Linked DNA regions of Arabidopsis thaliana. The protein of the gene in region 2 interacts with the protein of the main gene of each other region in a pairwise test. Each region holds a gene or a part of one and is shown on either strand. Other genes may lie near its edges. The genes, in order: AT1G49230, GAE5, GPX5 and AT2G29180.

Evidence for each region.
Region 1: the proteins of GAE5 (region 2) and AT1G49230 interact in a protein complementation assay, tested with the Arabidopsis thaliana proteins (one large-scale study listed by BioGRID).
Region 3: the proteins of GAE5 (region 2) and GPX5 interact in a protein complementation assay, tested with the Arabidopsis thaliana proteins (one large-scale study listed by BioGRID).
Region 4: the proteins of GAE5 (region 2) and AT2G29180 interact in a protein complementation assay, tested with the Arabidopsis thaliana proteins (one large-scale study listed by BioGRID).

Annotation. Positions count from the first base shown.
Region 1 is NC_003070.9:18,204,794-18,212,563, reverse strand, and holds AT1G49230 (RING/U-box superfamily protein), read right to left. Parts: upstream 3,371-7,770; 5' UTR 3,245-3,370; coding exon 2,585-3,244; 3' UTR 2,387-2,584; downstream 1-2,386. Other genes in the region: AT1G49225 (uncharacterized protein), read left to right, coding at 3,417-3,419, 3,912-3,946, 4,704-4,774, 5,901-6,025, 6,109-6,252; AT1G49220 (RING/U-box superfamily protein), read right to left, coding at 5,863-6,618.
Region 2 is NC_003075.7:7,286,099-7,294,958, forward strand, and holds GAE5 (UDP-D-glucuronate 4-epimerase 5), read right to left. Parts: upstream 5,023-8,860; 5' UTR 4,751-5,022; coding exon 3,440-4,750; 3' UTR 3,094-3,439; downstream 1-3,093. Other genes in the region: AT4G12230 (alpha/beta-Hydrolases superfamily protein), read left to right, coding at 35-143, 260-367, 462-602, 870-1,250; AT4G12240 (zinc finger (C2H2 type) family protein), read left to right, coding at 1,797-2,891. UniProt on the Arabidopsis thaliana protein: Involved in the synthesis of the negatively charged monosaccharide that forms the backbone of pectic cell wall components.
Region 3 is NC_003074.8:23,304,876-23,313,499, reverse strand, and holds GPX5 (glutathione peroxidase 5), read right to left. Parts: upstream 3,764-8,624; 5' UTR 3,340-3,763; coding exon 3,280-3,339; intron 3,187-3,279; coding exon 3,110-3,186; intron 3,022-3,109; coding exon 2,960-3,021; intron 2,821-2,959; coding exon 2,702-2,820; intron 2,591-2,701; coding exon 2,423-2,590; intron 2,336-2,422; coding exon 2,300-2,335; 3' UTR 2,103-2,299; downstream 1-2,102. Other genes in the region: RTFL14 (ROTUNDIFOLIA like 14), read right to left, coding at 301-447; AT3G63070 (Tudor/PWWP/MBT domain-containing protein), read right to left, coding at 3,925-3,950, 4,158-4,337, 4,492-4,849, 4,942-5,359, 5,441-5,625, 5,695-5,807, 5,890-5,998, 6,451-6,859 and 1 more. UniProt on the Arabidopsis thaliana protein: May constitute a glutathione peroxidase-like protective system against oxidative stresses.
Region 4 is NC_003071.7:12,538,719-12,546,206, reverse strand, and holds AT2G29180 (uncharacterized protein), read right to left. Parts: upstream 3,275-7,488; 5' UTR 3,127-3,274; coding exon 2,797-3,126; intron 2,685-2,796; coding exon 2,505-2,684; 3' UTR 2,372-2,504; downstream 1-2,371. Other genes in the region: PUM2 (pumilio 2), read left to right, coding at 1-244, 328-469, 551-658, 775-987, 1,072-1,182, 1,261-1,455, 1,541-1,715, 1,901-1,947; AT2G29170 (NAD(P)-binding Rossmann-fold superfamily protein), read left to right, coding at 3,927-4,018, 4,112-4,343.

The DNA.
Region 1 (7,770 bases), on a different chromosome or scaffold from region 2:
AGTTAACTAAATTATATGTTGTTTATAACCAGATTATACCACAATTATACCGTTTTTTACCAAATTTAAACTAGTTTCCATCGATAACCTAGCCAAAATTAAACTACCCGAATCTAACCGAAGAACCAAAATTATTCAAATATAATTTAAAAATCGGATTAGAAAATAATCAAATATTCGGTTAAATTACATTTTGGGGATAAAATTTATTTTTTAGTTATATATTTTTGATCTATATAAGAGAGTGGATGGATATAAACCACAAATATATGTACCTACAATAATGAATCCAACAAAAGGTAGTTACAATCCACATGAGGTAGGTACCATTAAAAGAAAACTACAAAATCTTCTATTTTTGTTACGAGGGTAAATAGAAATCAAAAGATGTGTAGAACCCAAGAAACTGTCATAACTAAACTTTTAACGTTGGTCCACTAACCGGAGCAAACCGGTAGAAAACCGGAAAAGAAATAGCTGTTGTGAGATGGAAATCCAAAAGTCAACTTTATGAACCATGTGTACAGCACATGCCGAGAGAAAATTGAGTTGGTAGTACTACCCTTAAGAACGTTGTGCCCCATCATTATGAAACTACATTACTCATGATCATGACTATATTAAACTGACACTCCATTGATATATAATAATACATATATATAAGTTATATGACCGGCCACGTTTTGATATAATATCGGAAAAAGTCAATTAACAATCTTTTTTGTTATTCTTGGTTTTACAACATGGGTTGTGAATGGTTACGGCGGTTGGGGCGGACACAACCGTCAATGGATCAAACCGCTTTTTATTTTTCATTCATCAATTATAGTCCGCAGTGGTCCAAACAAAAAAAAAAAGAAAAAACCCGCAGCGGACCATCTGCGAACTATTTTTACATACAAATAAACTTGCTCCGCAACGGTTTATTATCCATCCCAAAAATGAAATGGACTAAACCGCAGATAAATTAGACCGTTTTGTCCGCTGCCTCCATTAATAGCCTATGTGTTTTTTTCTTTTCTCATGTGGTTGTAAATAATTTCTTGTAATGAGTGGCTCACCACATTCATTATAACTTGTTAAACCAAATGTTTATAAACTATAACCAACAAAGAGATATTTTAAAAAATCCCTTTCTATTTTGATATAAGAAAAACACCCGATTTAGGAAAAATGCTAAATGGGCTTTATATAAATGGGCCCGTTAAAAGCCGACCCGAGTGGAAACTATGGAAGATCCGATATTGGTTTCAAGAGAGAATTTCTGAAAATCATTGGCGCCAACAAAGCGAACAATCTCTGAACATTGCTACTTCGTCGTCTTCAGCAGATCTTCATCAACGAATACGGTAAGAAAATTCCCCATTTTTCACATAGTTTTCTGGGTATTTTCGTACAGCTTCATTTGAACTTCGTATCTTTGTCTCCTTATTGTCAATTTGATTGGAGCGAAACTTGATTTTTTCAATTTCATGTACTCTTGTTTACTTCTTCTTGTTCATTGTTTAATCCCGATACGTAATTAGTTCAGAAGATAATCTCATTTGGTTGATGCAAAGTTTCCCCATTTTGGTATCTAGGGTTTACAATTTCGTTCGTCCACCTCATAACTTGTTTATCAATTTCTTTATTTGGAGATTAGTGACCATATTGATGGGAGTTTCTAGATTACTACTAAGGATCTCTCTTTAGCTAGTCAGTAAAGTACTGTTACACGTACTGCTTTTTTTAAAGTTCTACTTCTAAGTAATTGATATTGCAGCTCTTCATAATCCATTATCTATGAAATTGATCTTGGTAAATGCCGGTTGTTGAATTATTGTGGTCACTCATTTTCTTCATGTGGTCAGTATAACATTGAACCTCCCCTTTTAGTATTATTTGATTTGACCATATGGTGGGATTCGTCCTCGGACCCCATTCGCTTTGTGCTGTTTCTTATGGTGGTGACCTCTCTCTCTTGTTCTCCTTTCGATGGATTATATTATTGCATGTTTCTCTCATTTGTGGGCCTTGACATTTTTCTCCGGGGCTTCGCATTGTCACAGCCTACAACTTAATTTGTTCAATAACAAAGCAAGAAGACTCTTCTACCTCTGGAAGGGTACATTATGTTATTGTATGATTTATATAAAAGTGTAGTAACCCTTATGATAATCAGTAAAATAAGCTAGTGGCAGAGCCTGACTTTAATAACCTTGAAACTTCATAATGGTAAAGATTATGACATCTCTCTTTAGTTGACTAAGTGTATTGGCCACCTCCACTAAACTATTGCTTTAAGCCTTTCAGTGATTTTCCTTCTCATCATCCTGTACATTTGATTTTTGAATTGTTTATGTTTTGTTTTCCAGTGTGAGTATTTGCAGATCTAATGAAATTTTCCTTTATTGGCTTGTAACTGTGAAATATAAACATTTAGTAGTTCAAGATATGAAGAAAGTAACATTCTCGTAATATTTACAACTTTACAGTTGAAATGCTAAACTTGTTTTTAAGTGTAGACCGCTTGTAATCTCAAATAATTCTAAAACATAGTAGTTTAATCATAGCTGCTACAAATATCTAGGTGACTAGTTCTAGTTCACCTAAACCAGCGTATCCATCTTTCCGGTTCTAGTGGTGCTATTTGGAGAATGATGCTGTCTTGTGGTGGTTGAGTAGAGTTTAACGAGCTTGTTTGGCTGCAGTCGGCAATCTTCTCGCATGTCTGGATGAGGCAGTGCCTGCAGGTGGGACAGGACGAGTGTGAACTAAGCCACTTGTCTATACAACGGACATGGAATCCATGGTGGCATGTCGGCAACAGCTTCACACGTTCCTCGGCTACAAATTCCGAGAGACAGATAGCACACTCGGTATCTAAGCCAGGCAGATTTAGTTCAGTAGAGTAACTTACTGTCTGGAAACTCTTCAAGGCTTTTCGTTTGACTCCTGTGTTGGTCAAGCGAACAGGATAGTTGTCACCACCAGCTTCAGATGGTACTAAATTGGAGCACCTCAAGGCACATCTTATTATAGAATTGAGTCCAAGTGAGCAAACAAGTGCACATAAGAGGACTGATAGGACCATAACAACATTTGCATCAAAGTTGTTATCGCCTACATATGGGGATGGTGCTGGAGTTGGTGATTGATCATGGGTATGAAATAGTAATTTTCTTGAGTAAGAACTTCCAAGAATTTCTTGAAAGATCTCAGTTGGTTTTATGGTGGAAATGGAAATGGAAATGGTAGTGCACATGATAACTTAGTTTTAAGATAGATTGGTGGCTTTCTGTGTTTCCGTTGGAGGTTGTTTATATAGAGTAAAGGTTTGGAGGCTAATTGTTTATATAGAGGAAAGGTAAAGTTTCAATTTTTTTTCAGATATTTAATGAGGAATTTTTTTTTATATATTTCATTTAGAAAAACTTATGGTTGGATGAATAAGAAGCTATAAAGATCAAGCTCACATTATGGACCTTTACCTTTAGTGTCTAATTTTATAAAATCATTTGCAGCGTAATATGCTTTGTTATATAAAATGGGTCCATCATACCAGTTGCTGCAATAGTAGTGCCATGTGGCTGTGGCCTTAGCAAATCATATCTCCCAGAATTGCTTCTAGGGACCCATGAGCTTTTTAACTGGAGCAGCCATGAACTTTCCCTATCTTTGATATAGCAGCATTCAAATATTAATATCTCCTGGCTCATTTTACTGATATCTCACTGTTCCTTGATATTAGCCTGTTAGGGCTTATAATATATGTTTTCTACTTATGGTCTTGATGAAAACCGAGTTTCGGTAGATAGTTCTGACCCAGTGATATATCACATATGTGTCTAACCTGTAAAGGAGTTTCTCATATATAAAGCAAGGTTTGATTTAACTTTTCTTTTCTTTCCCTTTTTGCTATTTTTTAACAGTGGTGGAATCTTAAAAGTTTTGTTGATTTTGTGCGGTTTTGAGAGTGTACGGATGAAATATTTCCATTTAGTGAACTCTACTTATGTTTGGGGAACAGGAATCCACCCCATTCGTAGTAACTCAAGTTGTCCATAGAGTAGCCAAAAGGACAAAGCCTCTCCCAATCAATCTTGTTAAAGGCTACTTTTATCACTCTCATAGCATTAGTATCCACCTCCTGCTTTTTTTTCAGTAAACAGTTTCTCTCTCTCTCTTTATCTTTACATGCCTTTGTTTTAAATCAGAGGTAAAGGAATTGGTCCCACGGATGAACGAATAAAAAATGATTCTTTTTGTTTGCTTTATGAGATATCTTCTTCCATTGGTTGCAAATTGCGAGGGAAATCTACATGAATCTAGTATCTAATGTTTTTCTTGTAGCTCCAAAATCAAAGCAAGATTCTTTGATATGTGCTTTTGTATAACATTGTTTCTTGCTACTTTCCTAATAGCTGGTTTAGTGAAACATTAGATTAGGGAAGATTGTGTATCTTTGGGATAAAAAGTTGATGTTACACAGTAGGAGATGCATCTTTTCTATCTTTTCTCACCAGTCTCACTCGGAAATGGATTCCTTTTTTCTTTTGTCTGTGCCATTAGGTTACATATAACTGGTACAAATATATATAGTGGTCTGTTTTCTTGGTACCTTCTTTAAAGCAAATAAACTTTACTTTTGTTGTGTTATATGCTATAATGATTCGTTTGTTGGGAATATCTTAATTTGATACTCATTCACTTTAAAACTGCAGGGGTAACATGGATGAAGATGAGAAATCTGAACAGACAGAAAGATCATCCAAACTAAAATTGGTCATTCACCGTTTTTTTTTTTGAATGATGGAAGTGAAATGTTACCAACATATCGAGGTGAAATCACACGACACGACTTAAGGTGAAATAACGCAACTTGGTGAGAATTTGAAATATTTCTGAGAACATTTTTGCTGGATGCATTTATGATTTGGAAATGGTTTTGGATCCAGTGGGTGTTAAGAGCCATAAGAAAAGTTTCAGAAACATTTTAATTATAGTTCTCTTTGGCTAGAAAGTTGAAATACTGAAACACAGAGCTTTAGTCCTGTCTTTTAATCATTTATGTACCATTATTGACTTTCTTTGGTGGAACCTATTCTTTAATCATTTACTCTTTGGCGCCATTTCTCAGTGTTCATCTTTTGGTGAACTTTTGATTAAATATATATTTGTTCTTAGTTCCTGCTAAATATCTATAAAATATCTTTTTGGTCATTCTTCCTACTAAATATCTGTAAAGTAAATATTTATTTGATCATTCTCCCTACTTAATAATTTCTTTCTGTCAAGTAAATATCTATTTGTTCATAGTTCTTACTAATATCTTTTTATCTTTTTTGTCTTGTTCATGGTAATTGCTATTTTGATGACTTATGCGTGTGGATCGGTTTTGAGGCATATAGATTAATTATTAAGTGGGTTGATTCATGTAGATAGATGTAATTTTGTTTCACAAACTTTGTGCTTTTGTCATTATCAAGAGTACATGGGACCAGGTCTGGACCATAATTCCATATGGTAGACTACACACTGCTTCTTCACACAACTAACTCTTGGCATTAGTTATTGGGAAACCATTTATTCTGTCTAGTGACGTTTTGGTTCAGTGTACTGATATGACACATAAGAATATACGACCAGCACTTATCAATCTTTGGTTATCAGATGAATCTTGATGTTTTTGGATAAGATTGCAAAATTCACATTCCACCGTAAAAATAGTTTTACAAAGGAAGTTTGATGGACTCATGAGATGCTACTGAAAATGAAACATAATCACTCTGTATACACTTTGTGCTACAGGTAAAAAGAAAGTCATAAAAAAATTAGAAGTACAAATTCTGAATTGCTGATGGTTTCTGTCTTTCTTTGCATCTAGCTGATTTCTCTAATAGTGTTTACTCTTCCTTCAGGTTCTAGCGGAGCAATCATGACAATAACGATCTCTGTTGGTTCTAGAGGAGCAATCGTGACAATTACGATCTCTGTTGGTTCTAGAGGAACAATCGTGACAATTACGATCTCTGTTGGTTCTGCCGTAACTGAATCAGCTTGACTGAAGTCACCTAATATCTTTTGGCACGTCTCAACCAGACAGTTTCTGCATTTTGGACAAGTCAGATGTTGTTGAAGCCACTTGTCTATGCAACGAACATGGAACCCGTGGTTACACTTGGGGAGCAGCCTGAGCTGTTCACCGGAAACAAAATCAGACAAACAAATGACACACTCTTCGTCAAGCCCTGGCAGGTTCATCTCAGGTGAGTAACTCACAACTGGGAACATTCTAAGAGCTTTCTTCTTGATTCCTTTGTTTGATGAACCCCGTGTTGACGAAAGACTTGGTACAGGCTCGGAGATCATGAAACGTGTAGAACGTCTGAGTGCACAACGAATGATGTAATGTAACCCGAGGCAGCAGATAATGCCACAAATGAGGATTGAGAGAAGCATCATAACATTCCCACTGAGGTTGTTCTCATGGGTTATGAGAGGAGATGGTGCAACCGCAAAGGCTCGTTGAGTGTTGTGGTCAAATGGGTTGTGCAGAAGCAGCTTTCTAGAGACAAAACCGCCAAGGAATTGTTCTTGGAAGGCTTGAGCTGAAGAAGGTAACTCATTTGCAGACATTTTTACTCTTTGAGAAAGCTTAAGGTCAAAGTCGCTTCTCTATGCTTTGTTGGCTTTCTTTGGTTATTGCTTCTTAAGTTCTGAGGAATTCAAAGTTGTCTTAAATATAGCTCGAGATGCTTACTGATTACTGTGGGGACTGAGTATTTTATCTAATACTATTTTTCTAAGAAAGTGGGGTTTCTTCTTTTTAGTTTTTTTTTTCTTCAAATGAGACTTGAGTGCTGATTGTGCCATTGGCCCATACCTCCTCCAACCCTAAGATGCTTGTGTATAGGGACTATCACTTTTCCAACATTAAATTTGGAAATCATTTATTTATGCCCGACTTTAAATTATAAAACTTTGTTTTATCATTTTTGTCCTGTGTTGAGTCTTGATAAGCTAGATTCTATTTGATTAACGTTATTATATGTTTAAGTCTGGGTAGTATTTGCAAATTTTATTCTGATAATTCCCAAGTATCTAAATGTCTGCATGTATATGGTTCTCTTGAGGTGAAATAACATGAGAATTGGAATATTTCTGGAATACTCAAGTAAGAGTTTGGATCCAATGGGTTTTAAAGTGTCATTAAAAAAATTTCAGGAACGTTATAAGTAGAGCTCACTTTTGCAAGAAACTGGAAATACTGAAACACAGAGCTTTAATCCTGTTTTTTTAGTTATGCATGTACCATTATTGATTTTCAATCTATGAATTTCTTTGGTGGAACCTATTCTTTAATCATTTACTCTTGAACGCCTATTCTCAGTGTTTGTCTCTCGGTGTACTTTTAAGTACTTTTCCTACTAAATATCTGTTAAGTAAATATCTAGTTGTTCATCGTTCCTGCTAAATATCTGTTGAGTAAATATCTATTTATTCAACGTTCGTACTAAATATCTATTTGTTCATCGTTCCTACTAAATATCTTTTCTTGTCATGATAATGTAGAGAACTTCGGTATGTGCTAGGATGAATAGGCAGAGCCTATTGTGTAGCAGCTCTTTTGCTTTATAACGGTATGTCGACGAAACTTTCTTTATAATACTATTAGCATAGTTACAATATATGTTATATTACAAAAAGGTTAGACATGAATCTATCTTACTGATCAAGGTCTTTAGGCCAATAAGTGGCCAAGATTTTCTTAAAGCACTAAGATAGTAT
Region 2 (8,860 bases):
TGACTCTCAACGCTTTTCGTGATGCTCTGTGCAGTGTCAGTTGGACCCCTTCTTTTTTGCTTAAACGATACGTCTTAACAGGAATTCGTGACGGACCTCATGAACCCTTTATAGCTGACTCTGTCGACTTTGCTGTTTCTCAGGTTGCTATCCTGATTATTTCATCTATGATATTTTCTTGAACGGATCTGAATAACATGTGGACAAGGAATTTTAGATAAACTTACCAGCTCGGTTTCTTTGGTTTACTCTGATTTAGGTGGAGACATTGTCGAAAGATGATTTGGCTTCCCGGTTAACTTTAACTGTGGATGCTGCTTCCGTGGGATCTCTACTACTCTCTGATTCTTCAGTTACTATAATGGATGTAGGTTTCGATTAGCTATATACGGGACTTTTCGTATTATCAATGCAAGTAATTTTATCGTTGTCTAACAATGCTGTTATGTCTTCCAAATCAGACAAATGATTACTGCGCAATACCACAACATCTTAAAGATGAACTAACAGAGAGGTATCCTGAAGCAAGGAGAGCTTACTTAAAGAGTGGAGGAGATTTCCCATTCCTATCACGGCCCGACGAAGTCAATTTGCATCTACAGGTACATATCTACTCAGTATCTAAAGCCAAATTTGAAGTATACATATACTCAGTTTCGACAGCCGAATTTATATACTCCTAAGGCTCTTTTCAAGAAATTATGAACTTTTAAAGAAACTTGAAACTTCTCTACCTATTTTTTAGATTTCATACCGTTGAAGGGATTTTTTTTTCCAATCAAACCGGTTTTATTGCTTGGTAAAGGAACATCATGTTACTGCATCAAAACATTATATTCTTATGATGAATCTCACTCTTATGTTTTCAGCTACACTTAAGGCGGGTAGGAGTAGAACCACGACCCGAAGTGGTTAAAAGCATTCCAAAAGGCGGCGCAGATGGCACAGACGGTAGCAGCCAGAGCAAGAAGAAGAGTGATGAGGAGAAGGACGACCGTAACAACAATATGCCTCAAGACTCTGGAAGCTCATCTTCAGATCAATCACCGACATTTCCAGAAAGTTCCGGAAGCTCCAACGATCCGCCTTTACCCACAGACACCATTCAGTTACTGAGTTCATCATTGAACAACCTCATATTAGTTCAACTCGCTGGTGAAGTTTATCAGTCTTGTGTGGTTTTCACATTGTGTTACTGTACATTGGTTTTGGTTCACGGTGGTGGTTTTATCTCCAGACAATTGGTTTAGTGTTCTTTATTTATTTATTACCTCTTTTGTTGTTTAAATCTTTTTACTTTTGGGTTTCTTTGATCTGTTTTGGTTTCTCTTGACTTTTTGTATAAGTTTGTAAGACAAAGCAAGAGTTCTCTGTATGTTTCAAGTTATTACACTTTTGGAAGAAAACTTTGGTTGGGTTTTGGGATTAAACCAATGTGCTTTCTATTATTTACACATTTTGCTCTTTTAAAATTTAGTCGCTCATTATTTATTTGTTTTTATCTTTTACTGTATTCAAAACAATAACAGTAATAACCTAATGCAGTAGAAATTTGATAATTTTCTATGAACAGTGGTGTGTTTTGTTCCCTAATAAAGTTAAGGAAGAAAATTGTAACATTTACAAAGTTCAGGGTTATAGGTGTTATATTTTGTATTTCAATTCGTCTTCTTCTTTGCTCCAGATTGAACTTACATGAGAATCGCCGAACTCTAATCGGATCCGGGTCGGGTATGTAATGTAAACCGGGTTTTTTGAAGCCCCCATCTTCTCCGTCGATTTTAAAGATCCCGGCGATGTTTTCAAGATTTGTCCTAAAAAGTTGGAGACCTAAAACCCAAACCACATCTCTCAATTCAATCAAAGGTTTTAGCTTTAGCTCTAGCTCGATAAACCCTAAACCCAAAATCCGAGTAGGGGTTTGGTGGGATCTAGACAACAAACCACCAGCCTCTTTCCCGCCTTACGACGCCGCCGTCAAGCTCCGAACCGCCGCGTCGTCTTTCGGAACCGTGAAGCTAATGATGGCGTATGCGAATCGTCACGCCTTTAGCTACGTTCCTTTAGAAGTTCGAGAACAGAGGAAAGATAGGAAATTGCTAAACAAATTAGAGAACAAAGGTTTAGTTAAACCACCGGAGCCTTACTTCTGCGGTGTTTGTGACCGGAGATTCTACACTAACGAGAAGCTAATTAATCATTTCAAGCAGATTCATGAGACAGAGAATCAGAAACGTATGAGACAGATTGAATCTTCGAAAGGACATCGAAGAGTGAGACTTGTGGCTAAGTATTCGATGAAGATTGAGAAGTATAAAAGAGCGGCGAGGAATGTTTTGACTCCGAAGGAAGGTTACGGTTTAGCTGATGAGCTGAAACGAGCTGGTTTTTGGGTGAAGATGGTTAGTGATAAGCCAGATGCTGCTGATAAGGCGTTGAAGGAACATTTGGTTGAAGTGATGGATAAGAGAGAAGTGGAGTGTGTTGTTTTAGTGTCTGATGATTCTGATTTTGCGGGGATTTTGTGGGAAGCTAAGGAGAGGTGTTTGAGGACGGTTGTGATTGGAGATTCGAACGAAGGTGCGCTGAAGCGAGTAGCGGATGTTGCGTATTCGTGGAAGGAAGTGACGATGGGGAAGGCGAAGAAGGAAGTTGAGAAAGTTGTGGGGAAGTGGAAGGATAGAGATGTGTTGAAGAAGTTGGAGTGGACTTATGATCCTGCTTTGGAGAAAGAGAGAGGTGGTTCTTGCGGTGTTTGGGATTACGAGTTTGATTATGATGATGAGATTGAGAATGGAACAGAGGTGGAACCTGTGGAGATTGGTGATGGTGTTGACTGGTGGAAGATCGATACTGAAGATGGTGTTGGATCTTCAAGAACTTGTCGATAACATCATCGCATATGTCGTGGTTGATTGCGCAGAGGAAGATAACATGGTATAGGCTAGAGAACAATCTTGTGAATCTATTGGCATATTACATAAACTTCAGGCTAGAGAACATTCATTGTTTCTTGTTATAAGATTATGCAGTGATTTGATTTGTTCTTCCAAACCATCATCGTTAGTCAAGTGATTAGAGCTATGTAAAAATTGGTCAGAATAAGAATAAATATATGTTTGAATTCACAAGAAACAAGTGACAATAGATTGAATTACTACAGAGTATATGCATCAAAATCCAAGCTACTTTATTCCTCCGACATGATGGAAAAGACAATTGAGTTTCGACAATTGAAACATCTAAGTGATGAAGCTGTACATTGCTCAAAATCTACTAACAAATAAATGAAGCAAAATCTAGCAACACAGAAACAATGCAGATACGTAAGTGATTTTTCCTGGCAATGCAAGTGCTCGGTTTCAAAAGCTTAACCTAGAGCGAACTCCAAGCTCAACAAGGGGAAACAGAGACCATGACTTAAGCAGAGAGACAGAGCTCACCAAGAACTCTTCTTCTTCGAGCCAGTGTAAAAACCCATATACCATTTCACAAACTTTTTCAAACCCGTCTCAAGATCAACCGCAGGTTTATAACCGAGCTCTGCTTGCGCTAACGTGATATTGGCATGAGTAAACTCAACATCCCCATTCCTCGGTAGAGGCATGATCTTTTTCTTAGCTTTCATCTTCAAAAGCTTCTCTAATATAGTCACAAGCTTAGTAACAGGAACAGGAGAAGTATTCCCCAAATTATAAATCCTAAACATAGCAGGACCTTTCTTCTTACCACCACTACCAGTACTCTTCTCAGCAGTATCTAACGCACCTAAACAACCTTTTACAATATCATCAATGTAAGTGAAGTCCCTAGCAACACTACCTTTATCAGGAGATTCAAACACAGTAATCGTCTTCCCTTTAAGAATATCTTTAGTAAAGAAGAAATACGCCATATCTGGTCTACCCCAAGGTCCATAGACAGTGAAAAACCGCAAACCCGTTAACGATAATCCGTAGATGTGATTGTAAGTATGCGCAATTCCTTCACCTGCTTTCTTCGTAGCTGCGTACAAACTCGCTGGTTGATCGGTACGGTCTTTCTCCGAAAAGGGTACTTTCGAATTCAGACCATAAACAGAGCTAGAGGAAGCCCAGACTATAGCAGGTTGCGGATTCGCTGATTTCGATACTTCTAATAGATTCACAAACCCAGCAATGTTACTGTTAACATATGAGCCAGGGTTTTGCATTGCGTAACGCACACCAGCTTGAGCAGCGAGATGCATAACATGTGTGAAGAGGACAACATCAAAGAGCTTTCTGAGTAAAACGGCGTCGTTTATATCGCCTTCGACTACGAAAACACCTGATCTTTCTAAAAGGCCTTGTCTTGCTCGTTTAAGCTTTGGATCGTAGTATCGATTGAAATTGTCGAGACCTAGAACACCATCGCCGCGTCTTCGTAACGCGATCGAGACGTGAGTACCGACGAATCCGGAAGCTCCGGTGACTAATACCGTTAAACCGCCGTGAGACCTAGGACGAGCGGATTTACGGACTTGTTTCTCCCAGTGAGAGCCGCCGTATTTCGCGGCGGAAATGGAGGAAGAATCGTTGAGATTCCGGCGAGATGGTGACGGAGGAGGAGATAAAACGAGGTAGAAGAGGAAGAGAGCGAGGAAGAGAGAAGCCCAAAGGGTGAGTTTTGAGAGACGGAGGTAACGGTGGTGGTGGAGAATCCCGTACGGTGGAACTTTATCGGTTTTGTACTTTCCGGGAGTAGAAGGAAGATCATCAAGGTGAGACATTTTCACCGGAGGAGGATTTAGAAATCGGAGAAAATGTCGATTAGGGTTAGGTTTGGATTTTTGGGTCTTAAGGAAGCAAAATTGAGCAAGTCAAAAATGAGAGGATTTTCCGGGAAAGAAGAAAGAGACGATCTTTTACTTACTTGTTGTAATTAAATTAAATGTGGATGGTTTAATTTGGTTAATGATGTAAATTTATTTATTTGGTTCAATCTTTAAGATATGGTAATAAGAAAGCTGCCAGAGAGTATATTTAGATTCATGAATTTTAGATTGCTTTTCAAAGTTAAAACGTGTTTGTAGATTGTTGACATTTGTATAGTTGTATTGCATTCTATATTGATCATGTTATGCATGTACTTTTGTACACGATCACATATACACTATTTTTACACGCAATAATTGTTTAATAATATTTACTACTTTTGCTTTTAACTTCTGTATTTCTTTGTTCCGATTGATAATAAAAAGAAAAATTATACAATAACAAAAGGTTATAAGAAATGTGAAATAACGGGGGTAATAATGATAAAAATAGATATAAAATCGATCGTATCATGTCATATATATAAATAATATCTTTCGGGATTAACTTTTTTTAGTTCTAATTTATATCGATTGACAAAAAAGTAAATAATACAAAATCGGTTATTTTTGAGGAATTTTATTACGAGTTATTTTTTATTTTATGAAATTGATCTGTTTTTTAGGAGGTAAACAATAAAATTGCATTAAAAAATGTAGTGATTTTTTTATTTTTTAATAAGAATTTTCTACTTATAATGTGAACAATACTATGTGGATACATGCTAGTATGTTAGCAATGTGAACAATATTCGTGATAAGTTAAATATTATTTTAATTTAGTTTATGATTGTTATATCTCACCTAACCATTATTTTCGACATCAAACGAAAATTAATGTTATATATTCCTAGTGTCATAGTAAAAGCTTTAAGAAATAATCCACATTTAATAAGATATACAAATCGTAATATACCATATAATCACGCAACACTGATATTAATCAGCTTAGTATAGTTAACCTATCAGAAAATTGATCTCTTTATAATAAAATTCTATTTCTTTATGGTAATAAGGAGCCAAATCAATTACTACCAAAATATCGGTTATGCCATATACAGTTAATTTGTAATTACTCTGGTTAGATTAGGATATTATCAAAATCAAGATTGACTTTGTCCTTCTAGCGATCATTAACTAATTTTACTAGAGCATAACCGGCTGGGTCAAAGAAATTTGCTTTTATTGCACAAAATTCTAAATTTATTTCAAAAAATTGTTGTTTGACGCTTGTACTAATTATCAAGCTAGTCCGTACACATCGTCTGATATACACTCATTTGGTTGATAGGAGTATTTTTCTCCTAGTCCTGGGCGTTTGGGTATTCGGTTCGGGTTCGGATCGATTTTTTCGGGTTCGGATTTTTCGGAACTATAATTTTAGACCCCGTTCGGGTATTTGAAAACTTCGGTTCGGGTTCGATCCGGTAAATTTTGGGTTTGGGTAGGTATTGGTACTTCCATTGAAAAATCCAAAAAGTAACCGAATATTATTCGATACTAGTTTATAACTACTATAATATACCCGAACATACTTGATACTAACCACATATACCATAAAACCTGTAAATTTGTAATAAAAAAAACTTAAAGTAAAATCAATAAAGCATGACATAATAAAAGTTTCATACGTTCAACCCAAAAAGCAAGATTCAAAACATCCAAATAAAACCATTCAAATAGAAGAAAGAAGTTCAAATCCAAAGCAAGACATAAAAACATCGTTTAGAATCGAATCCAAAGCATTCAAAGTAAAGAAAGAAGTTCAAATCCAAAGCAACATCCAAACATGATAGATTCCCCATGACTTGTTCCTGTTACATCAAAACCAAATAAGCTCAGTTGAAAAATAAAAAACCATAATAAACATTAAACCATAAACCAAGTAAAAGTCAAATACGAAATGATCGTTGATTCATAAGTCTAGTATATTAACATTGAGCTATAAACCAAGTTCAGAAGTAAAAGAAAACAAAATGGAGTGATGAAGTTACCTTGTAGTCGTTTCCTTGATTAGTCTTTTAGTCCAAATTCACTTCAGTTTGAAACTCTGAAAAAGATTCAATCAACACCCAAGTTGTGTTAGAACATAAGAGAGTTTTCAAACAACATCTAAAACTAAAACTAGTAAACTACATAGATAAAGTTACCTTTCTCAAGCTTATCAAGTAATTCTATATCAGCAAGAAGTTGTGTATTTGTTAGAAAAGTGTTTTCACTCAGCTTGATTTCACTTTTCAACCACTGCTCAAGGCAAACCAAAGTCTCTACCATATAATGAGTAAGGCAGCTTCTACTTGGCTCCAAAAGACGACCACTGGTGCTAAAAGCACTTTCAGATGCGACATATGACACTTGCATTGCAAGTACATCTCTTGCAATTTCTGATAAAACTGGATACTTCTGACTATTGAGTCTCCACCAAGACAAGACATCCCACTCCATTCCAGGAAGAGTCTTAGGATTTTCTACCTCTGCCTTCAGATATATATCTAACTCATCTTTAGGATCAGTAACCCTAATTTCATTAACCATCTCTTTATAAGACCTGTCCATCCTTTCAAACTCAACATTACTATCTTCAGCTAACTCACATGCAAAAATATCTCTGGCAGCAGTAGATGAAGGCGGATTAGACTGAGATGATTGTGTGTTTGGTCCCTTGAAAATAACAGTGTACTCCTTCAGCATAGCCTTCATGACATCATAAACAGAATTATACATCTCCTTGGCTTCTGAAGTGTCTACACCATAAAGTTTCTCAAAGCACATTTTAGCAAATTCCATTTTCTGTCTAGAATCAAACACACTAGCAATTATTTTTGGATATTTCTCTTAGTTAGTTTGAAGGTTCACTTTATTTGTAATTTAATGCTTTTGATAATTGGAAGGGTCGTGGGCTCGTACATTTCCTCGAGCTATTTGTATTTTACTAGCAATGTATGTCAAATATTTGGTGTACTTTAACAATTGTTAGAATTCAGTTAACTATAAATCTACATATGTCATATTATTATGAAAATTAGACAAAACTAGGGGGTGTTATAGGTTTTCTGATTTAAATAGAGTTTTAATGAATTAATAAAATATTACATAGAATCTGTTGTTGTTCAATCAAGATTCTTATAAAGTTTGGTGTTATTAATTTTAAGATTTGTAAATAATGATCTAAAATCTTTGTAAATTTGGAGTAATTGGATTCATATTTTTATAAAGTCATAAAAAGTTTTGTGTTATTCAATCAAACAAAAGAATCTATGTTTGTTAATGAATTAAGTTATTATGTTATTGTTTATAACTTTCTACACTTTTCTTCGCAACATGAAGTCATAAAAAGTATCATCAAAATAGAAAGATTGTTTGAGAAACTTTACAAGATTGTGAAAAACTAATTAACAAGATTATAGAAAAGTCTCTAACAATAATTAAAAATATTTTATTTATTTATTTTATATGATATTACTAAAGTCATCAAAATTTCTTGTAAATTAAGAACCTATAACATTGCTTTAGTGTTACTTTGATTAAGAGAAATTAATAAGTTCAAATTTCTGTCTAAGAAAAAAGAACAACAAGAAATGAAGTTCAATTAATAGTGAATCCAATGATAATAATTAAATAAAATCTTATCTTCTTATAGTGACAAGGTCTTACAGTTACCCACTCGACACAAATTATTATCATTATATATGTATGCTTAGCACATGACCAATTTTATTAACACAAATTTTACCTAGATCTCTAAGAAGTAAAGAACACTTTAAAACCTATATTTTTATATATCTTTGTGTTTTAACTCATGGTAGACACCGAGCTGTATTCAGATAGGCCGTTTAATGCAGACACCTCTTTCAACATCTTGATAACGTTAACACCATCAGATGTGGGTTTGAGTAATATGATAACGTTTTCAAAAGAGATAGTAGAAACCAAAATGTTACCTTTACTGCCTAAGAATCGTTTCATAGGTTATTTGGACTTTTTTTATTTTGAAACTAAAATTGTAACAACTCTTACTGTACAAGA
Region 3 (8,624 bases), on a different chromosome or scaffold from region 2:
AAACCACGCGCATCGTTTTTGAACTTTTTGTTTATCAAGGCAAATGTTTTTAGCACCAATCAAGAAGACAACACCATATTGTGGTCTTTTTTGTTCTTATTAGTATCTCTATTTACAAAACAGAACTTCCGATTGATGACCAAATGACAGTAGGTATCGATATTTTCGATGATTACAATTAAAAATTTACATTATGGTATATACGTTTAATTAAATAGCTAGTTAATTAGTTTGGAACTGAACTAATACATAACCAAGAAGAAAGGAATTTGGTGATTGATTATATCATATGTATATGGATCAATCATGGGAGGAGAGAAGAAAGACAGCACATTTCCAGATGATGTAAAGACGAGCCCTTTGCTCCTTTATCTGCTTCGAACATCTTTTCCATGTCCTAACCTTGGTTACACTAGTGCAGCATCTCAATACTACTGTCCCTGCCATTGAGATCCTATATATCGAGAAATTTTCAAAGTAAACTATTCGTGTGTGTGTGTTTGGCTGCTAGAGAGATAGATTGCTTATATACTAGTATACATGCTGACTCGAACTCGATTCAAATAATTTGGCACATAGTGTAGAGATAATTTGGTAGATATAATCTAAAATGCAAATATAGGATAAAATTAAGATACATTATTGAACTGAATAATATGGAGGACCTACATGTTTCTAAGTGTGAAGAAAAGGCATGATGCTTTCACCATTAGCTTCGCTTTTGAACTAAAACCTTATGTTTAGTTTCTATCATTGATTAAATGTTCGAAACAATTTGGTATCATTTTTTTTTTCCTTTTTTCGAAAAAGCTTATCATGTTTTCAAATTTGATTTTGCGGTGAGGATATTGTTTGAACAGAAAACTTCTGTTCATGCACACATGAGTCTTAATGATGGAGCCTGTGGTTTGTGGGTCTTTATGTCTTGCTGTGTGTTAGGTGCGAATGGAATGATTAAATATCTCTAATTTGGTAGTTAGGAAATGTAATTAAATAAATCACGATCAACTTCTTAATTATGGATTTGCTTACGAGTTTAGCATGAATGTTACGTTCATCCCACCACATCACTCATTTCATGCCATTGACTATAAGCTTTGGAATTGATCCAAATTGGTATCAGTTAAACTATTAATTAAGAGGGTTTCCGTTTCTAATTTCATTGTGTTGTTAAAGAAGAAAATTGTATGCTTTCATTGTATAATTTCCCTAAATTTCTCACTATGCCTCAACTAAAGCACCGAAATGGCTACACCAAAGCCCTTGAATGTATTAAGCACCATAGCAAAAACGATGCAAATAAAAGGCAGTGCAATGGTAGTTGAGCCAGAACCTAAAGGACGGGGCTCTACACAAATCTCCAAACTAAGTAGCTTTGTTCGGGTCACGTAGACTCATGGAGGAAAGCTCGGGGCTTGCTCACTTTCGGGAGTAGTTGGTATTGGTCCCTATCTTCGGTTTTGAAAACTCTTGACGGGATACCCAGTGCTAATCGAAGAAGAAGAAAAAATGTAAATATAATACACAGAGAAAAAATAAAATGGAAAAGACAGTACACTAGTTGTAATGTCTAATTAGTGATTATGGGATAGGTGGGTCGTTTGTTCACAAAATAAAGCCATAAAAATGGTTAATGTTAATAATATCAGTAGTTTGACTAATCTCTAACAAAAGCAAAAGAAACTGATAAGACAAGAAAGAAGAAGGATGGATGCATGAAAGAGTGGTCAAGGTCTCCTTTTAAGTACTCCTTTTTTCTCCTTTGTACTCTCTATTTCTTCAATTGTCTGCCACGTTTCACAAACAGCGCACGTGAGAGTGATACGCCACTTATAATCGATACATTACAGATGGAAAGAAGTTCTCATTGAACACATGAGACAGATTTAAACATTAATTATCGTCGAAACTGAGTAATTTGCACCATAAAAAGTAAATGGTGAGAGTGATAGATAGACTAAAATGTCTTTTGGTATCCTAAGACGTTGTTATAGGCGTTCTCTTGAGTGAAAATCATTGATGTTTTATTTTGATCTTGCTGATTTCGTCTAATCTTTAGCTTAGCTGGTGGTTTGTATTTGTTGGAATTAGTTTTTTTTTTTCTTTTTTTTATGGGTTCAAATCAACTTATTGGAATCACCTTTGATCAAATTTCACAAAAGAAATGGCTAGTAGAGTTACACATAAGATGAATACAAGGCCCATATGGAAGGTGCAATGGGAAATGTAGAAACTTGACTGCATGACCGAGAGTATGAGAGAAGTTTCTTCCAAAGGAGTCAAATATCTCTGTGCGTGTTCACAATTCTTGTGCAAGGGCTTTCTCGATGTCTTTCTGTTATGCAGAAAACAAACATGAAGTAAGCCATAAAAGAGTGATATGATTTTATAATAGAATATGAAGAACAAGAGAGTTAGAGACCTGGATGGATAGAGGTGAAACAGTTGTGCCATAACGATCAATGACTTGACCATCTTTGCCGACCAAGAACTTGGTGAAGTTCCATTTGATACGACTTCCAAGAAAAGAGGGTTTCTTAGATTTGAGGAATTTGTAGACTGGTGCAGCGTTTTGTCCATTTACACGCACCTACACACACACATAGATGATCATGATCATTCATGCTTAGTTATAAACTTACAAAATCAGCTACCTATTAAAGGCATATGAAGAAGAAAAGTGTCTTGTTTGTTGAGGTACCTTTTGGAAAACAGGGTATTCAGCCTTAAAGCGAGTACAAGCAAATTGATGAGCCTCTTCGCTGGTGCCAGGCTCTTGGGACAGAAACTGGTTGCAAGGAAACGCCAATACCACAAAACCTGATGATGATCCAAAGGAAACCAAAACAAAAAATCTTACATAAACGATGAAGTAACAAGGGAAAGCAAAAGAAGAAGAGTCTTCTTTATTAGAAAGGAATATATACATTCCTATTCTAATATTCTTGTATGGTCTGACCTTGATCTTTATATTTCCGGTAAAGTTCCGTCAGCTGGGTGTAATTGGACTCCGTGAATCCGCTGTTCCCCAAATTGTTTGTTAACAAAAAATTTAGAATCAAGAAATAATAATTAACTAGAGAGAAGATGATCGGAGGATCTGACGGACCATTTAGAAGCGACGTTGACGACGAGCAGCACTTTCCCTTGATACACGCTTAGGTCAACCTCCTTGCCGGAGCTATCCTAATTTCCGATAGATCAGACAAACAAGTCAGAAACGCATTCATTCATCAGATAAACAAACAATGAAGAAAAGGGATTCATAAATTAGAAAACCTTGACGGTGAATTGATGGATTGATTTCTCCGACACAGATGATGATGATGAAGCACCCATCTCTCGATCGATCTCTATCGCACAGAAGAAACTAATTAAAATTATTTGAAGTCAACAGGTCTCCGCTTCTTCATTGTTCATTTTATCTCGCAGCAGCATTACAGCTGTTATGTTAATTCCTTGGTAACAAACAAACCCATCCCTAATTGTTTTTTCCATTTGCTATTTAACTAATTAATCGCCTCTTTGACCATTTTTTAGAGACATCTCATCTCTCCAGGTGACAGAAATGCATATTAGTGTGTATTACCACCACTCCCCAAAAATAAACCAAAAAATTTTGTTTACAAAATATCAAATGCCTAAATCAGTGACAGTATTGCCTAACTCAAATCTCTCTCTCTCTACTACAACAAATGGCTTTTCACGACTGTTTCTTTAGCCTTCTCCACGACGTTTTTGGTCATATGTACACACACCAACTGTGCCTTTTTTCTTTTGTATATTAACATCTCTCTCAAGTGGCCCAGGTCTTTCCAACCTACACTTGTTTCTCCCTATTTCTTCTTTTCCATGACTATAGCCCAAATGTCTTTCATTTAGAGCAGACTGCACCTTTGCCCTTCTTCATCTCTTGTCTCCCACTCACCTTTGATGCCACGTCCCTGGATCTGCATATCCACAAACATACTCCAAGTTCATTTTTATATTCAAGATATACCCACAGGACAAGCAAAACAATCTCGAATCTCAGAGACCTAATGATATAAAATCCCCAGTCAAAAGAAAATGTCAGAGTTTCTAAACCTAGGAAACAATTCCAGTATAAGAAAAGGCTCTGATTCATGACGTGGAACAAGTATGAATTTCCATATTACCTCTCATTCCTACTGGAACAGGACCTTCCGAATGCTGCTTATAGTGATAAGAGTGTCTATTGTTATATGCACGCGGAGAATCACTCCACCTATTGTTCTGCAACCTTCCTGAGTCACGGTGATGCCCACTGTATGAGCTCGATTGATGAGGTCCTTTGTGTCTGTCATGATATCGTGGACCTGCAATATAAAAAAAAGAAAAGCATTCACGCCTATTAGCATCCATGAGCAAGTGCTTGTGTGCGCAGATATGCATTCATATATGCATTCATATATGCCTATTAGCATGCATGAGAATTATAAGGAAAAAAAAAAAAAAGGTATCGGAGTCCACCATGAGAAGAGGGCGGATGATATCTCCAATTGTCTCGATTCTCGCATGGTTCAGGCCTCATTCTCTCATAGCTGTCTTGATAATTCCTTTCGTCAAATTCCAGTGTGTAATGAGATCTGTGAGGGTATGATAGACCTTCTCTCCGCGACTTTATATGGTGGTCCGGCTCCATATATGAATAATGATGTGATGGCGGAGGAGGTGGGGGATGAGAAGATGGATATGGCCTATGCTGGAAGTTAGAACCCTCCCCACGTGGCATGCTTTTTGACAAAGATACTCGGGAACTATAAGATGGTTCAGGACTTCCGTAATGCATTGGGGGATTCATCCTTGGAGGACCGGCATGATAGTCGCCCTTGAATATTAACCACAAATTAAGTTATTAACTATGTCTGAATCCTCACTTTGTTAACTGCAAAAGATTCTAAAAGAAGAAAAAGGACGCACCTGCATGCTGGGATTTCTGCGGTAGTCAAAGCCATTTGAGTAGGAATTAGACATTGCCAACTGAGCATTCTGCGAAGGGCGAGCTGGTGGAGATGACGAGGTAACATTCTGATGTGAAGTTCCAGGGACAAGCAGACAATTTGCAGACTCTCTATTATCAGCTTGATCTGTGATCGCACTAGCACTGCTTCCACCTTCCCAAGGTGGAGCCACGTCTTCCATTTCAAGCTCACCATCAACATCTTCCAGTATACGGGTATGCCTTTCGGTAATGGACGGTGTGACATGTTCTTCAAGGCTTCTTGACTCGTGTTCAGGGGTGACAGACTCAAAATCACCCCCATCCGAGTCACTTCCTTCGTCTTCATCCCTAAGTATTGGAGGTATGCAGAATCCATGAAGCTGGAGAGTTGAATTACTGAAACAAAAAGGTGAAAAAAGTTATGACCCTAGAGATAAAGAAATCAAGATCCCAAAACTGATTAGACTCAACTCTCACCTTCCATATTCATCCACCAGTATACCCTCCATATCTCTAACAGGGTCATCCAGCGCCCTTTCTGTTCGAGCGGATCGCCGAGAATAGAGGCAAGCAGGAACATTACTAAGCGAATCAAGTTCTCTTATATGGTGACGAACTATAGATTCAGGAAGGATCCGTCTTTCAAGCCAAAGCCTCAAAACCTATATAAGAGCAGAAAGGGTGAGAGTTAGTATTCATAAGAAAAAGAATATCTAACTAAAATCGCATACCTTCAAGCACTGTTTTCGGTTTTCTTGTGTGGTAGCTCCAGCTGGGACAGCAGCAGTTAATAGGCGAGGTAGCATAGCCTGAATGGATGAAAGATAAACACCACCAGCATCACCTGAATAGAAAGGTAGTATTCACAAAGTTAACTCGCCATTGAGAACATCAATGATGCAACTAAGCAAAAACAGCATACTCACCATTCAAACCTTTGGAGCACTGAGCAATAGAATCCACAAGGAAAAATAAATCCACCCTCCTTTGTAAATTTGACTCACTTTCCAAAGTGTGGGCCAGAATTTCCATCGCCTAATTTTAGACATAGAGATTCTTAGAGCATCATTAACAACATTAGACAAAAGTCTGCAAAATAGTGTTTTATAAATTACACAAAAGCACCGTGCAAAAAGTCCCTTTCCACATTAAAACGGTAAGATAAGATAATAAGGATTGCCCTAGTCCTTTGCTTGAAAAGAGTGGCTGGATGCCTACAGCATCCTAAAATCAGTAGACAAAACAATATATATAAGGTGTTTCTCTAATTCGTAGTAATACATAAAGTTGGTATTGACAATTTGACATGTTCTCGCAATTAACTATTTGATAAATGCAAATAGGTATATAGCATGGGACAGATCCAGGTACAATGTTTTAACAATCTATAAGAAGAAATTTGTCTCCGATTGGATTCCACCTCTAATTAACATGTGGCATCCACAAACAGATAAGACAAGATCACAAGCAGAGAGAACGTTTCATACCTTTGCTGAAACGCCAAATTTCGCCAAGTCCATAGCCAAGCGAGTTGCTCGGCCAATGGTCTCCTTTGTCCTCACCAATGAGTCAAGTGCAGTCTCAAAAGACTCAACAGTGCATTGCACATCAGAACTAACAACTTTCTTCACCTGAGTTGTGCCTGTTTCAACTTTGCTTTCTTCTTTGACAGTGTCAACATTTAATGATTTGTTCTCACCATACTGAACATTGGTGCTGTAATAACTGTTGTTCTGCATAGCATTTTCACTTTCTGCGGTAGAAATTCGGCATACTGAGTTGCAATTTGGAGTACCCCTTGCAGGAGATGAATTCAATTTTTCACGTGAAAAGTTCTCAGATACTGAGATAGAATTGGTGGCTTGCATCTGCTCCTTCTGCTCATCAACCTCACAACTGCCAATGCACACAGACATACCATACTGTTAGTCAACCAGTTCCGTGAATTGGAAAAACTTGACCAAGATAAAGTCTGAAGAAACTTAATCTAATTGATGTTTTGCTTAAACTCAATATGCATATCCTCTACATAGACTTTCAAAGCAAGAGAAAATTTAAATAGGAACTGGGAATCTTCAACTGTAAAAGGAAAATGCAAATTACAAAGAAAGAAAGAAATAACAAAGAAATGGAATTTTATGTCAAAAAGTGAATAGATAGATTCCTAGTCATGTTCTACATCAATCTGCCTATGAGGACTCCATGCATAAAATATTCCAATGTGGTTAGAAATTGAACACATGATTGTAATTAGAAAAGTTTTTCTAATAAGGAAAATCAAAAAAGGAAACAACATAGAATCAGAGGTTAGTATAGGAGTAGAGACAAAATCAGTAGACTCACCTCTTTTCCAGCTCTCTGTTCTCCACAGCATCTGCACAGTGACTATATACAGTTTCATACTGAGGTTCCGCATCATCTACGATCATTTCACTTTCAGTAGCAGAGAGTACTGGATTCTGTATCATGTGAGCTTGTTTGTCACTATCAAGTTCTTTACCGGGACTTCCTTGGTTTTCTTTCCAAAGAGTATTTTCAGTCTCCTGCAGGTTTTCAACCTCCTGATAATTGACCACTGAACAGAACAATGGAGGCGGCGGTTCTAAGGCTTGGGACTGAACAACCTGAGTCATACAGTAATCAATTTTCTCACATTTTCCATTAAGAGAATCTCCAACAATGACCAATGAATGGTCACTAGAATCATACTCCTGGATTTTGTGTTGGTGAGGAGATTGAGCAGGTACCACTGTTGTTGTCATATCCAAACTCGAGCATAAACCGGGGGACTTATTTGCAGATGAATCAACGATATCAGGATTCAAAGGGGTTTCATGTTTCTCACTTTGATGTGAGCATTGTATATCAATAGGATCAGTCTCACTAATTAGACAGTTCCCAGTTTGCGATTCCTCAGAACATCCCTGAACTACTTCAGGAACACGAGCTTCTGTTTCTACCAAACTGCTAAGTTGGTTAGATTGTGCTCGAGTTACTTCATCATCTAGTGTCATGGTAAACTCGTTCTCATGGAAATTCACAGCCGTTTGTCTATCTCCTACAGTCTGAACACAGGCCACAGAAGGAGACATTCTGTCTGAAGGTTTCTCCATATGAGAAGGCACTACATCAACCATAACACCTGAAAGCTTAGCAGACAACTCAAAGCTGTTAAATTCTTCGGCTGCAGAAGTATCATGACCAGAACCAATACCATTTTCATGATTCACAGAAGGGCTTGTCTGCAAAGCTGCACTTAGTAGGGTGTCTTTCGACGATCTCTCTTCCACCTGTGAAGAGGCATTGACCTTTTCATCAGCATAAAAAGCTCTACTCATTCGAACTCTGGCTCGCTTTACCAGAGGCAAATGTTCATCACCATTCTCTTCACAGGGCCTCTCATTCAGCCTTTCATGAGAATTTTGAGATCTCTGGCAGCTATCACATGCATTGGGCCCAAGACCTTCTGCTTCAACTTTAGCAGGAGGGTCAATAATGTCACTGGTTTCACGTTTTCTGGTGGGTTTCCTCTTCTTCCTCTTAACCATGGTGCTAATATGAAAATCAAGCCCTTTGTTAAGCTCATGACCTCCGTCACAACCCTCACCAACGGCATCAGAATACTCAACTTTGGAACCAGAATCCACACCATTGCCTTCAT
Region 4 (7,488 bases), on a different chromosome or scaffold from region 2:
GCCCATTGGCTCATCATCTTCTGCCTAATTCTCTTGTGTCACCCTGTAGCCCTATGAGACGAGGTGAAGTTAATATGCGATATCCCTCTGCAACAAGAAACTACGCAGGAGGGGTAATGGGTTCCTGGCACATGGATGCTAGTTTGGATGAAGGCTTTGGATCTTCAATGCTTGAAGAGTTCAAAAGTAACAAAACAAGAGGATTCGAACTTGCTGAAATAGCTGGCCATGTTGTAGAGTTCAGGTATTCCCTTGAATGTCTTTTATCTTTTTTCTTGTGTACAATTTGTCCCAAGCTAACGTGTACTTGGGGATTTTCATGACCAGTTCGGATCAGTATGGAAGCCGGTTTATTCAGCAGAAACTCGAGACAGCAACAAGTGATGAGAAAAACATGGTTTATGAGGAGATCATGCCACACGCTCTTGCCCTGATGACTGACGTTTTTGGAAACTATGTGATTCAGAAGGTAGATTTATTTAGTCTTCCTCTTTGGTTTTATTTTAGAGTTGAGATAAGAGATTCCTGAATTTTGCTTATCTTCCTACAGTTCTTTGAGCATGGACTCCCACCACAGAGAAGAGAATTGGCAGATAAACTCTTTGACAATGTTTTGCCTCTTAGCCTACAGATGTATGGTTGTCGTGTTATTCAGAAGGTATGTTTTACTCTTCTCTTTAAGTCTATCTTCGATTCTCAAAATGGTTTGCTATGTTTATAAGTCTTATCTTCGATCCAGGACAGTTAAGAGTTTTGTTATGTTTATCCTTTTAGGCAATTGAGGTGGTTGATCTAGACCAGAAAATTAAAATGGTGAAAGAACTCGATGGACATGTGATGCGATGCGTACGTGATCAGAATGGGAACCATGTGGTTCAAAAGTGTATTGAATGTGTGCCTGAAGAAAACATCGAATTTATTATTTCCACCTTCTTTGGCAATGTTGTGACCCTCTCCACTCACCCATATGGGTGCCGAGTTATTCAGGTTCTTGCTCTTAGTAATAAAGAAAAATTACACAGTTCTTGATCTTATGCTTCTAAGTAAAACACTTCTCGTCTTATGTTGCAGAGGGTATTGGAGCACTGCCATGACCCTGATACTCAGAGTAAGGTTATGGATGAAATCATGTCAACTATTAGTATGCTGGCCCAAGATCAGTATGGAAACTATGTTATTCAGGTTTGTTAAAAAAGAGTTATACTACAACTGGTTATTTTGTATAGGTTGCTTAAAAACTAATACACGTTTTGTTGACAGCATGTATTGGAACACGGAAAGCCTGATGAGCGTACTGTGATTATCAAGGAATTAGCGGGGAAGATTGTTCAGATGAGCCAACAGAAGTTTGCTTCAAACGTTGTTGAGAAATGTTTGACTTTTGGAGGGCCAGAGGAACGGGAATTTCTGGTAAATGAGATGCTGGGCACAACTGATGAAAACGAGCCTCTTCAGGTTTGTCAAACACATACTTTCAGATGATTGTTGGAGAAAATAAAGAAACTATTAGCTCATAAGCTTCTTCATCTTTTGTATTTAGGCGATGATGAAGGATCAGTTTGCCAACTATGTAGTGCAAAAAGTTTTAGAGACATGTGATGACCAACAGCGTGAGCTGATCCTTGGTCGTATTAAAGTGCATCTCAATGCTTTAAAGAAATACACTTATGGAAAGCATATCGTTGCTCGTGTTGAAAAACTCGTTGCTGCTGGAGGTATGTTTAATATGTTCTTTGGCTCCAAAGTTTCGACCTTTACCTGCTATAAACCTTTCAAATTGTCTTCACTTCGTTTTATTTGTATCATCTTACTTGATTGAAGAGACTTCTATAAGGATTGGAGAAAGAAAGACAATATATTGCGTGTCAATGTCTCTAAGTGGGTTTTTTCTCATATACAGAGAGGAGGATGGCTTTGCAGTCCCTAACCCAGCCTCAGATGGCGTAAGGCCGCAAGTGTTGTACAGCTTAACTAGGGTGGATGGCTCTGCCATAGCGTTTTGAGAATTAGGTAAAATCTAAACCGGAAATAATCTGCGGGAAAATTGTGAAGGAGAGCTTTGTTTTCTCTGCAAATCTGTAAAATTGTGTAGTTGCTTACGGTTTTTCTATACATAGAACCAAACATCCCACTTTAGGCTGATGAGTAAGAGAGGAAATATGCAGAGAATGGTGTAAAGGTGGGCTGAGGTATGGTGAGGATTTTAGGGTTTCCTTTACACGAAAGAGAATGGCTTTTTCATTGCCAAATGTGTAGAAGTGAGAATATGTTCATGCTTTTAGGACAATCCTAGTGTTTAGAGTTTTTTCTCCATCTATGTAATTTGTTTCATCAAACTCTTGTTTCCTATTTCACTAGTAACTCTTTCGTTTCTGTAATATTGCAATATTTTTGTTATATCGACCATCAAGTTGCTTGGTACACAAGAAACATATCATAGATGTGACAATCACTGAGCAACATTACAAACAAAATCAATCTTTGTCTCTCTACTACACACAAAATCACTCAAGATCAATGTCGATGTCATCATCTTCAATCTTCTGACCAAAACCTCTTGGTCCAGCTCTGGCTCTCATTGCCTTCTTCTTCCCACCTTTCTTAGACTTCTTTGCTGCCTCGTCTTTCTCAAACTTCTCTCTCTCCCTCTTCCCAAGAAACTCAGTCACTCCAATGTACACAACCTGTAATGAAATAAAACCGGTTTAGAGACTCACAAACCGGGCTTCAGGTTTGGTTCTGTATTTTGATTTGACATAGTTTATGGATAAGATTGGTTTTGTGGATAACACTTACACCAATGGTGAGAACCGTGAGAGCAAGAAATGCAACAAAGAGAAGCACTTGTATAATCAAAGCAACACCATCTTGTCCACCACTAGACACAACTGCTCCAGAAGAAGAAGATGAATCAGAAGAAACGATCTCTTGGGAAATTTCTTCCGGAGTTGCAGAGACTCTCCATAGTTGGGTTTTTTCTTGGTGAAGACGAAGAACCCTAAAAGACAAGATCTTTCTTCTTGAAACAGACCAAGAGAGTGGAGATATATGGTGGCCTTTAACTGGAGTTTGGAATCTTGGTCTGAAATTTGAAAGAGATAGAGATGGTGTTGTTGTCGCAGACATCTTTCCGTCCACTCCCACACTCTCTGATCTCTTCAGATTCTGGACATAACCCACTTCTGTTTGGTTACATCCAACGGTTCATGTTTTCTTGAGATTGAGAACAGATTATTGATGGGCCAAGAAAAGCCCAATATATTATTTTCGTGGGCCTTATATTTCTATTAGTTTTTGATTATGCATCATTAGTTACGCCATCATCACTAAACTACAGTCTTAAGATTGTTTACTTTGATCTCTAATTTTTCTACCCACCACAACAGTCACAACGTCAAGAGATACGTTAGCTTTCCTCAATTTCTTCAAACAATCTCATAGCCTCGTATCATTAATTCATCATAAATAGCCATTTTTCATTATCATTTCTCATCAAAATACATCATTACACAACAATGGCTAGAGCAGAACAGAGCTCAACCCATGTTACATGGGGTCTTTAGTTTTTCTCAAACAATGAAACATGAGTCGATCCCATGTAGTTGGGGCTTAACCCTTAATCGAGGCCCATTATTTTGAGTAACCTAAGAAAAACATCAAAAGGCCTTACTGTGTACGAACGTCATTACTCATTATTATCATTCATTCATTCATTATGAATTTTTCTCAACCATAAATTCAGATCTCCAAGAAAATATCTTTGGGTCTGTGGCTCATAATCAGAGGTGGCTAAGACATTCAGACAGGGGTTTCAAAGGACAAAGTTAAACAATTCACGTAAAAGTATCTTTGGCCACCCTCACGACTAGTCTTCCACCTCTTGGCCTTAAATATGTGACCTTCATTGAAGAAAATAGTATCCAGAAATGGCTAAAGCAGAAGAAAACTTGAGAGACAAATGTAGATGGAGCCTTGGAGGCATGACCGCTCTCGTTACCGGTGGCTCCAAAGGCCTCGGGTCAGTCCCCCTACTAATCCAATATTGAATACATTAATATGTCATATTACATATTTGCACGTGTCAATATGTATACAACTGTGTTATGAATAGGGAAGCTGTGGTGGAGGAACTAGCCATGTTAGGAGCAAGAGTCCACACATGTGCTAGAAACGAAACTCAGCTTCAAGAATGCGTACGTGAATGGCAAGCTAAAGGGTTTGAGGTCACCACTTCTGTATGCGACGTTTCTTCTCGTGACCAACGAGAGAAACTCATGGAAAACGTTGCCTCTATCTTCCAAGGAAAACTCAACATCCTTGTAAGTTTATGTATAAGAGCATAATGCATAAGGTTTTGAGCAAGATCAAGTGATTTTTTTGTTGTGTATTTGTTGGAAGTGATCAAGTCATCATCTTATTTTAGAAGAGATATATTATATAGTGAAGTAACTGGTTTATATATATTCGTATCACACATCGAAGAGATACAAATATAATTGTTAACTACAAAACAGTTACATGTGTGTATGTGTCTCTACATTAGGTTGTCTTCTAGAGACGTGTCCCTTAGTCAAAGTGTGTCATGTAAACCTATAAATACAGTTTGTATATGTAATAAAAGTGTGTGGTTTTCGTTTTATAAAAACAGAGTGAAATATAGAGTAAGACAAAACAGAGTAAAATCTGTGTTGTCCGATCCTTAACAACTTTGAGAGTTCAAAGTTCTACATGGTATCAGAGCTATGGAGACAACAATGCAGCAAGTTATTCCAATCTTCAATGGTGAATCGTATGGCTTTTGGAAAATCAAGATGATAACCATCTTGAAAACAAGGAAGTTGTGGGATGTTATCGAAAATGGAATTACGTTGAGTTCGTCGTCTGAAAACTCACCGGCGTTAACTAGAGAGCGTGATGATCAAGTGATGAAGGATATGATGGCTCTTCAGATTCTTCAAAGTGCAGTTTCTGATTCAATATTTCCGAGAATCGCTCCGGCATCAAGCGCAAGAGAATAGATGGAGTTCCAAGGAAGTTCACAAGTAAAGATGATTAATCTTCAGACCTTGAGAAGAGAATATGAGAATCTGAAGATGGAGGAGAGTGAAAACATAAATGATTTCACAACCAAGTTGATTAATATGAGTAATCAACTAAGAGTTCATGGTGAAGAGAAAACCGATTACCAATTGGTTCAAAAGGTTCTTATCTCCTTACCGCAACAGTTTGATAGCATCGTTGCGGTCCTTGAACAAACAAAGGATCTATCAACTTTCTCTATGACAGAGATGATAGGTACTTTGAATGCGCATGAGAAGCGCTTGAGTCTCCGAGAAGAACGTATCAATGAGGGTGCGTTTTATGGAGAAAAGCTTGGCTCAAGAGCAGAAAACAAGCAAACAAAAATCGCCATGGGAAGACCAACATGTGGTGCAGCGTGTGTAAGAGGAACAATCACAATGAGGTAGACTGTTTCAGAAAGAAGAGTGAAAGCATTTCACAAAGAGGTGGAAGCTATGAAAGAAGATGCTATGTGTGCGACAAGCCAGGACACATAGCCAGAGATTGGAAACTTAAAAAAGGTGAAAGAGCACATCTAAGTAGTGAAGAATCAGAAGATGAAGAAGAAGATGAGTGTCATATTCTCTTTAGTGCTGTTGAAGAAAAAGAGATCTCAACAATTGGAGAAGAAACGTGGTTGGTAGATAGCGGATGTACCAATCACATGTCTAAAGATGTTAGACACTTCATCACTTTGGACCGCAACAAGAAAATTACCATAAGGATTGGTAATGGTCGAAAGGTCGTGTCTGAAGGCAGAGGAGATATAAGAGTATCCACAAACAAAGGAGATCATGTCATCAAAGATGTACTTTATGTACCCGAACTAGCAAGAAATTTGCTTAGTGTCTCTCAAATGATATCCAACGGATATCGAGTCATCTTTGAAGACAACAAGTGTGTGATTCAAGACTTAAAAGGAAAGAAGATCTTGGACATCAAGATGATGGATAGAAGTTTTCCAATTCGTTGGAAAAAATCTAGAGAAGAAGTGTATGCGGCATTCAAAGAAAAAGAAGAACAAGGAGGAGGGAATGATCTAAACGCTCAAATAGATCAAAATTTGGAGGGAGCAATGAATGACGTGAAGTGGATAGAAGACATGAGAGAAGAGTTGATGATGATAGAAAAGAACAAGACGTGGCAAGTTGTGGAGAGACCAAGCAATTGGAGCAGATCAGTTGAGGACAAGAAAAATACAAGTGGCTATGTCTTTACTTCTGGATCAGGTGCATTTTGTTGGAATTCTAGCAAACAGAAGAACGTTGCTCAATCAACGACCGAGGCGGAACTCTTTATCACATCAAGGTTCGAAGTTCTACGAGAAGAGCTAGACGTAACGATGAAGCCATGATCAAGGAGGAGTGTTGGAAGTGATCAAGTCATCATCTTATTTTAGAAGAGATATATTATATAGTGAAGTAACTGGTTTATATATATTCGTATCACACATCGAAGAGATACAAATATAATTGTTAACTACAAAACAGTTACATGTGTGTATGTGTCTCTACATTAGGTTGTCTTCTAGAGACGTGTCCCTTAGTCAAAGTGTGTCATGTAAACCTATAAATACAGTTTGTATATGTAATAAAAGTGTGTGGTTTTCGTTTTATAAAAACAGAGTGAAATATAGAGTAAGACAAAACAGAGTAAAATCTGTGTTGTCCGATCCTTAACAACTTTGAGAGTTCAAAGTTCTACAGTATTGTGGTTGCTTTGGGTCTATTATAAATATATAGGTAAACAATGCGGGAACGGGTATAACAAAGCCGACCACAGAGTATACAGCACAAGATTACTCATTTCTGATGGCTACAAATCTCGACTCAGCTTTTCATCTCTCACAGCTCGCGCATCCTTTGTTGAAAGCATCTGGTTCAGGGAGCATCGTGCTCATGTCCTCTACTGCAGGGGTTGTACATATCAATGTTGGTTCCATCTATGGAGCAACTAAAGGTTTATATATACTTTAATATATACTCAAACTATTAATGATCCTTTTACGTTCTGAGGCTAACATATAAATGAGTATTGTACATATATCTACGCGTTGTAGGAGCTATGAATCAGCTAGCAAAAAACTTAGCATGCGAGTGGGCAAGGGATAACATAAGGGTTAATTCTGTCTGTCCATGGTTCATAGCAACTCCTTTAGCTAACATTGTAAGGCAATAAAATGAGAAAAAAAATACAAAGATCTCCTTAATACTAAGAAATTTTATAACAGATGAATTTAACTTATGCCAAAATCTCTTAATTAGTATCTCAATGATGAAGAGTTAAAGAAAGAAGTGGAGCGTAAGACACCAATGGGACGTGTTGGAAACGCAAATGAAGTATCATCGCTTGTCGCATTTCTCTGCTTTCCGGCTGCTTCGTATATAACAGGTCAGACAATCTGCGTCGACGGAGGTTTCACGGTCA